2 linked regions of the Arabidopsis thaliana genome follow. The protein of the gene in region 2 interacts with the protein of the main gene of each other region in a pairwise test. Each region holds a gene or a part of one and is shown on either strand. Other genes may lie near its edges.

The links.
Region 1: the proteins of P40 (region 2) and AT3G53890 interact in a two-hybrid assay, tested with the Arabidopsis thaliana proteins (one large-scale study listed by BioGRID).

Annotation. Positions count from the first base shown.
Region 1 is NC_003074.8:19,954,794-19,958,707, forward strand, and holds AT3G53890 (Ribosomal protein S21e), read right to left. Parts: upstream 1,657-3,914; 5' UTR 1,503-1,656; intron 1,288-1,502; 5' UTR 1,257-1,287; coding exon 1,207-1,256; intron 1,093-1,206; coding exon 960-1,092; intron 855-959; coding exon 789-854; 3' UTR 551-788; downstream 1-550. Other genes in the region: AKR4C11 (NAD(P)-linked oxidoreductase superfamily protein), read left to right, coding at 1-192, 292-378; UPP (uracil phosphoribosyltransferase), read right to left, coding at 2,121-2,190, 2,272-2,319, 2,414-2,469, 2,542-2,609, 2,773-2,834, 2,911-2,959, 3,067-3,148, 3,239-3,316 and 3 more.
Region 2 is NC_003070.9:27,242,025-27,246,445, reverse strand, and holds P40 (40s ribosomal protein SA), read left to right. Parts: upstream 1-1,514; 5' UTR 1,515-1,603; coding exon 1,604-1,748; intron 1,749-2,287; coding exon 2,288-2,550; intron 2,551-2,629; coding exon 2,630-2,827; intron 2,828-2,931; coding exon 2,932-3,151; intron 3,152-3,227; coding exon 3,228-3,298; 3' UTR 3,299-3,601; downstream 3,602-4,421. Other genes in the region: AT1G72390 (nuclear receptor coactivator), read right to left, coding at 71-151, 385-462, 564-628, 716-785, 878-991; ERF73 (Integrase-type DNA-binding superfamily protein), read right to left, coding at 3,669-4,270, 4,356-4,421. UniProt on the Arabidopsis thaliana protein: Required for the assembly and/or stability of the 40S ribosomal subunit. Required for the processing of the 20S rRNA-precursor to mature 18S rRNA in a late step of the maturation of 40S ribosomal subunits.

The sequences.
Region 1 (3,914 bases), on a different chromosome or scaffold from region 2:
AGTCCGGTTATTGAAATGATTGCTAAAGAAATCGGGAAGTCTCCCGCACAAACCGCGCTTCGATGGGGACTTCAAATGGGTCATAGTATACTTCCCAAAAGCACAAATGAAGGAAGAATCAGAGAGAACTTTGATGTCTTGGGATGGTCTATTCCAAAAGAAATGTTTGACAAGTTTTCCAAGATAGAGCAGGTAAGTGAAACAATAAACCACATTTCTGCAAATTTCGTATCTGTGAGTAGTCTTAACTGTAACCTCTTGTATTTTGGATTTTGAATCATCTCTGTGCAGGCTAGGTTAGTCCAAGGCACGTCGTTTGTTCATGAGACGTTGAGTCCTTATAAAACACTTGAAGAGCTTTGGGATGGTGAGATCTGAATCAAAAGATGTCTTTTGTTGAATTTTAAAGTTGAAAAAGAACAAAGTTCCACTGCTTTAAGCTTTGATCGAGAATGTGTAAACGATTCAATTTTCAATAAAAGTAGGATTTTGCAGACATATTAACAATCTCTTATGTTCATACAGTAAATCACTAATCCGAGAGGTTGATGATAGATAATCTAACAGTTATATTTGAAAGAGAAATATAGACGAGTATTAGACTGTAGATAGAATCTGATTCCATTGGCCTCAAAGCCTAATAATTATCTTTAATAAAGCAGAAAAATCGAAAACATGAATTCGCATAAAGAGAAACTAACATTTTCAATTCAATGACAAAGCCACATAGCTAATAAATCGAAACCTCAAAAAACAAACAAGAGCTTATGACATTGTCAGATTGTCTCTCACTGTTGTTTAGCTTCGACCTTCTTCTTCTGCCAGAGCCTGTCCACGCCACTGTCTGCGTCTCCCTGCAGATGCAATCATAATGTCAATATACATATACAATCATGAACTTTGTTATAACAACTGTGGAGATGATTATAAAGTAATTAGCAGAGTGGAAATTCACAAACCTGAGCACGGACAAATCCGCAGAGAGCAAAAGTGGTGAATTGGCCAGTGTAGAGACCATTAGCATCAAGATGACCAATGTTAAGCTGAACTGAAGCATGATCCTTTGATGTGATCATTCTGTTTGTTGCCGAGCTAAACAAATTACCATTACACAACAATAGAATCAGCTTAGGCTACTTAATTAAGACAATTAGCTTAAGATTTTAATCAAACGTTACACAGAGAACAAAGAGAGCTGATATATACCATTTCCTTGGAATGTAGAGCTCTGTGACCTGACCTGCGTCGTTCTCCATTTTTGAGATTTAGCTTCAAAAAAAAATCGATCTGAGCAAGTAAACAAACAAAAAAACTAATCAGATGAGCAATAGAACCTCGAATTAAGAGATTCATCAAGAATAATTGATCACATTCAACAATAATATATAATCAACAAAAGACACAACGAGATAACTAATTCTGAAATCGAAACCTAGATTATTCCGATGCGTTAATTAGCAATACAGTGAAAGGAGATTAAGATACTACGGAGAAATTCTCACCTGCGAGGAAGAAGAAGAATCTGAGAGAGGTTTGGCGGCGACAAAGATAGGGTTTGCTTAATTCATAGGTTTATTAGATTTATAGTAGCGAGCTAGGGTTTGCTTATTTCATAGGAATGACTACTATACCCTTCAACTTTTAATTGAAGAGCAATAAAAACCGATCCAATTAGAGCGGTATACAAAATTAAATCAAACCGAAATACTAAACTTTTTCAACCAGAATTGTACCGACAGTTAATTGTAACCGGAATCGAACGTAACCAAACCATAAATACTGGTTCAGTTTGGTAGTAACTTAAGTTCATTCAATTTGATAACAAACTTTTATTATTGGTTCAAATGTTTGCTTCATGGATGAATTTTTCAGATTTTCTTGCATACTTTTTCCCAAAATGGTTTGTGGTAGACAATTGAGAATGATACACATAAAATGGTTGACAAGTTTGTTCTCTGTTTTGTAATAATGAGGAATTCAGTTTTTCTTGTTTGTGAAATTTTGACTCTTTATCGAAACCCTCTCAAGAACCTGAAATCACACATCAAAAACAAAGTACAAGAGACACAATATATAATCTAACGATTGTGACTGTTAAAGTTTAACAACTCATACAAGTATCACTTCACCCAATGTGTTTCTGTCCCGAAACTGCGGTCTCCAGCGTCTCCAAGCCCAGGGATTATGTACCTAGTTCATGACAAATACATAAGGACATTAAAATACAATCGCCAGTTTTCATATGGAAAGCCAAAGAACCTAATGACTTACCCCTTTTCATTGACTTCAGGATCAATAATTCCAGCATATACATGAAGCCTGAAATGTTTCAAATAGTAGCCAAACAGTTTAGTAAAAAGAGAGTTAACTAAATGGTAAGCAAGGTGAGAGTTGATCTTTTGCTATTGATTACCCGGGGAATTTCTCGTTAAGCTTCGATAGTGCAGGAGGTGCAGCAATCGCACAAATCTGTAATCAGAAAAATCAAAACAATTAACACTTCGATTTCTGACAAAAGCTGTTTCCTATATATATGCTTACCACTTTGATTTGCTGAACAGACAAACCACGTTCCTTCAATAGATCCATCGCCGCCATTATGGTACCACCTAAAATACAAGTTACTAAGTTACTAAACCTACGCTTCTAGCTATGAAACATTCGTATTACCATGTCATGCGTTCACATTCACATATTATCGTGTACATTTGAACATCAAACCCTAACTATACTTCTAATATGGAGGTGGCTAAAATGATAAGACTTTCTTACCTGTGGCAAGCACTGGGTCGACCAAAAATACTCTTGAATTCTTGGGAAATTCATCAGGCAACCTAAAGAAGATGTATCAAAGGTGTTATTATAAACACTTCAGTAACTACAAACACAATGCTGCAGAGAAGTTCTTACTTGTTAAGATACACCGATGGTAAAAGTGTTTTCTCATCTCTACTTACTCCTGTAAAAGAAAAGAAGCACGGGGACATCAATAAGCTATTTGATAAAAGTTTTCATTTTTGACATCCGAAGTTCAGGCAAGAGATGATATATAGCTAGATTACTAACCTAAATGATAAATTTTATTAGCAGGTAAAACTGAGGATGCGTGTTCCGCAAGAGCAAGACCAGCTCTTAATATCGGAACAACCTACACAGAGACAAAACCAAGAATTAGAAACGCTTACATGTAAGGTCGAAAAGAAAATATAGACAGGAAGAGTTTGAGGGATAAACAAACCGCAATAGGCTCTCTAGGATCAATGAATTCAACAGAAGCAGGACCCATTGGAGACATTATTTCACCCACAACAGTTGGCTTAACCGCATAGAGCAAAAAACAAAAAACAATAAGCAAAAAACGGGTAGGAAGAATTCAAGAATAATAGAGATGTGAAATTCTACGCACCAGCCACTCTCGTGATGCTTCATACATGAGTAATCTCCCTAGTTCAGCTATTGCATTCCCTAGATAATTAAAAAAACTCAAGCTTTAAAGATCAACACAGACTTATACTAGTAGCAAACCTAAAAAAACTCATATTCAAACGCAATGTAGCAGATAACACCAATCTAAGAGCTAAAGATTGTCCAACGAATCAAAAAAAAAAAAAAAAAAAATGGATGTAAAATTCAGTTCTTTAACAACAAACACTGGTTAAATCGCAGAAATACTCATAAGAATCTTATCTACTCACTGAAAACAGGACAAGGAGTTTGTTCATTTCTCAGAACAGAGATCCAGTGTTTGATCAAAGGATGTGGTGGCACAAAGACCTGAAACACCAGAATCAAATTCACATCTTTCACTTTCAAATCAAACTCAAAAAAAATCTGAAAATTGAAATCCTAGAGTTTTATTACCAGCATCCTGTTGCTCCCGTTAATGGAAGCCTCCGACGCAGCCATTTTTGTTC
Region 2 (4,421 bases):
ATATACGTTTGGACTGTTTCCAAGAACTTATGGAAGGCTTTATCCCAAAAAATAATTGCAGATAACTCACCTCACATATAACCACCCCATCCACAAATTTGCAAGGTATATCTTCCAAAATGTCCCCAGGAAGCCTGCCAGCCTCAATAGCCTATAAAGCGTACAAAGGGATTAAAAACATTTACTCAGTAGAATGAAACTCAGAAAGTGTATTTAACAAAACGCGAGTAAGTAGTGCAGTGAAATGCATTATTCGGGTAGAACAAGTGGGGAAAAAAAACATCATCTTCACATTTACTAAATCTAAGTACTTTGAATTCATTCACCAAAACTTTGATTACATGTTCAAATCAAGTCTATAATAACATAGTTCGAAAGATTTACCGAAAGGAGACCCTCTGCTGCCCTATCATACGGATGTAAGACCTTTGGAACATCTCGAAACGATATCTGTTGCATAGCCTGGTATTCAAAAACTCAAATTTGTGAAAACGTGAAGGTTTTAAAACTCAAATACAAGAAATCACAAGATAAATAAATTCATATAGACTCTCAGTACATACCTCAGAGGTTTTTCCTATAGAGTACCCATTTGGATAGAGGCTCAATATGAAGGAAACTTCATGATCTGCAGAGAAACCAAAATGCACTCAATTCAACATAGCTAGAATTTAGCAAAACATTATGTGTCAAAGTGGTTCGTTGAGATCCAAACCTGGAGATATATCGGGTAAAGATGGCTTCGAAAACCCGGAAACATCGCCAATATTGCTATCATCAGTGGCCTGAACCAAACGTAATAAATTTTCTATATAACTTTCCAAAATAAGCGAATTTAGTTGGAACACAATACAACTAAAATTCTAAGTTAAATTACCTTTGGTTTCCCAGATAGAACGATTGCTTTTGGGGAATCAGGAGTAGCCAATTCAGTAGAAATCTTAGGTCGAAACTTTCTACCAACCTTCGATATCTTAAACGAGACACCCATGGATTCTCTCCAGAGAGATGAAGCTCAAACCTGTCTAGGTACTGTCAATAAACGATACAGAAATAAAAAAGACACGAGAATTGAAGAAATCGAAGAATGAATTTTAAGAAAGCTAGAGAAATTGAAACCTTATGAGCTTGTTACAGAGAAGATCATCAAACAATTGGATCGGATAGAAAGCGAGAGAAATCAAAGGTGACTAAGAATAGAGCAATGAAGAATTCATAAACATGGAATTTGTGAAACACAGGTGGGAAATTTTTGAAGAAGATGCGATCGGAAGAGAAAGGAAGAGAGATTATTGTTAGGGTTCTTCTTCTAACTTCAAAGTAGCAGAAAAAGAAATTATCTTTTGTGTCTCTGTGCACACTTGGATTTCGGTTTAAGACAAAACGGAAGTTGAACCAGTTATTAATTTTGGTTAGCTTCGATTAAAATTTGGGTAACCGAGTTTGGGGGTAGAATAGACATTTTGCAAATTAGGGTTTTGCTTGATATATAAAATCCTTCACCCTTATAAGCCTTTCGTCGCCTCTTCGTGTGATTTACTGAGTGAAAAAAGCTTATCGCGGCGATTAGTTCCCGGCGAAGAAGAAGAAGAGAGATAAGAAAATGGCGACTAATGGATCTGCTAGCTCAGCGCAGCTCTCTCAGAAGGAAGCTGATGTCAGGATGATGTGTGCCGCTGAGGTTCATCTTGGAACCAAGAATTGCAATTACCAGATGGAGCGTTACGTCTTCAAGAGACGCAACGATGGTAATTTCTCGTATATTTTTTGATAAACTATCTGTATGTATGTATGTTGATGGTTATAGTGTTGAGATTCTGTGTTGATATTTCGGATTTGTATAAATGTTGATGATCTGTTTATTTGGTTTATGCTGCTTTGTTTTAGATGGTTTTTGGATTTATAGGTTGTTTTATTGTATCGAGAGTAGATTTTACTCACGACGGATCTAAATATGTCGCTGACTGAGAAAAGATAAAATGTTGCAACTAGCCGTTTTTGTCAGCACGCTCACTTCTCTGCGTTCGTATCTAAGAAAAGGCTTTTGTTTCTGTGTCTTCTCTAGTGTTCTTGTTTACAGAAATGTATGAACAAATGATCAAAGGCTCAAGTTTCATTTCTATCTCTCTCTGTGTGTTTGTAAAAAAAAAAAAATTGAGATTTTAGTTTTGACTGATGTTTGAGATTGTATTTGTGCTAGTGTGTGTTATTGTTGCTCTTTTATTGTAATTTACAATTGTAAGTGGTGAGTATGGAACTTAGTTTTTGAAGTTTTCGTCATTCTCAGGTATTTACATCTTCAACCTTGGCAAAACATGGGAAAAGCTCCAGATGGCTGCTAGAGTTATTGTTGCCATTGAGAACCCACAGGACATCATCGTCCAGTCAGCTAGGCCCTATGGACAGAGAGCTGTGTTGAAGTTTGCTCAGTACACTGGAGCCAATGCCATTGCTGGAAGACACACTCCTGGTACCTTCACCAATCAGATGCAGACATCCTTCAGTGAACCAAGGCTGTTGATTCTTACTGACCCAAGAACTGACCACCAGGTAAACTCTTCATATGATTCATATACTAGTGATTGATTAATGATTTTTGTTATTGATAAATGTCTTGTGTGTGTTGCAGCCTATCAAGGAAGGTGCTTTGGGAAACATTCCAATCATTGCTTTCTGTGACACAGACTCTCCAATGAGATTTGTTGACATTGGTATCCCAGCCAACAACAAGGGAAAGCACAGCATTGGGTGCCTTTTCTGGCTTCTGGCTCGCATGGTCCTTCAGATGCGTGGAACCATTGCTGCTGGACAGAAGTGGGATGTCATGGTAAGAATATCATTCTTGGAGCTCTTAGATTAGAAAGGCATCTGTTCATTAAAAACTTTCCCTGTTTATTGACTGAATTTTTCATATGGTATGGTGTTGTGCAGGTTGACCTGTTCTTTTACAGGGAACCTGAGGAGACTAAGCCAGAGGATGAAGATGAAGCTGGCCCTCAGGCAGAATATGGTGCACTTCCTGCTCCAGAATATGGAATGGTAGGTGGAGACCAATGGACCACCGCTCAGATCCCTGATGCTGCATGGCCAGGAGAAGGTCAGGCACCAATCTCTGCTGCACCTGCTGCTGCTTCTTGGAGTGATTCCGCTGGTGAGTTTTTGATAACCATTTGAACCCTATTCTAACAGATCTTGATTCTAATGTTATGTTTATTTTGCTGTTCTAGCTGCACCGGCAGATGGTGGATGGGAAGCTGCCGCGCCACCCTCAGGGGCACCAGCTGCTGGTTGGGAGTAAAGTTGATAGCCTTTACTCAATGGTTTAATGGTTATAGACATGCTTTTTTGTTACTTTTGGGATTGAAGAGTTATCGAACCGTAACTGTTTTTTCTTCTCACTTGTTTCTCTTAAGACCCTTAGATGTTTTGCACCTTTTTGTTTGAATCGAATCTATATTTTGCGTTTATCACAAATATGAATCGAGCTTTGTTCTTCCCAAACATTATTCTCTACATTCTTACAACTTAAAATATCGCAATCTTCAAAACAATAGTCGTAGTGGCCGTTTTTGTTTGACACTGGCTAAGGTTTGAAGAATAAATAGCAAACAGACAAGTCGAAGAAGAACTCATTTAAAACACTCATGTCATTTGTACAATAGAACCGTTCAGGACCATAGACCCATGTCATTGCCTCCATCAAAGAGACTACTCAGAGACGTTGAGGAATCACAGTTTCCCTCCGTAAAAGGCATCTGCGAGAAATATTCGGTCTGGTTCTCAAAAGCAAGAAGCTCTTCAGAAAGCAGAGAAGCATCAACGTTGTTGGCTTCTTCACTATCATTAGGTTCATGTTTCTTATTCGCATCGCCCATGATGATATCTTCGAGCCATTGTGTATCAATCAGAAGCGTGTCCGGATTATTCTCCTCCCACAAGAAATCAAGACAGCTACTACTAGGCGCTGAGCTTACCACCGCCACATCAAGATCAGCCTCATGATTCTCCTCTACCTGTTGCACAGTCTTAGCCTTGGCTTTCCTCTTTCCAGAGGATTCGTTAGGGAAATTGAGCTTAGCTTTGGCTCCACGGATTCTCTTAGCTTCAAGATCATAAGCTCTTGCAGCTTCTTCAGCTGTGTTGAAAGTCCCGAGCCAAACTCGAACTCCTTTGATTGGATCACGTATCTCAGCCGCCCATCTTCCCCAAGGCCTTCTTCTGATTCCTTTGTACCGACTGCTCTGTTTCTTCTTCCCATCTGATGCTGAGCCTAGCCATGGATAAAGTTCAAAGCTTTGAGACATAGAACCAAACGATGAACATACAAAACATCAGAAAACAGAATCGTAACTCACCTGAAGCATGATGTTTGTGAGTAGAGGAGAAGACAAATGGCTCATCGGACTCTAATTCATCGAAAT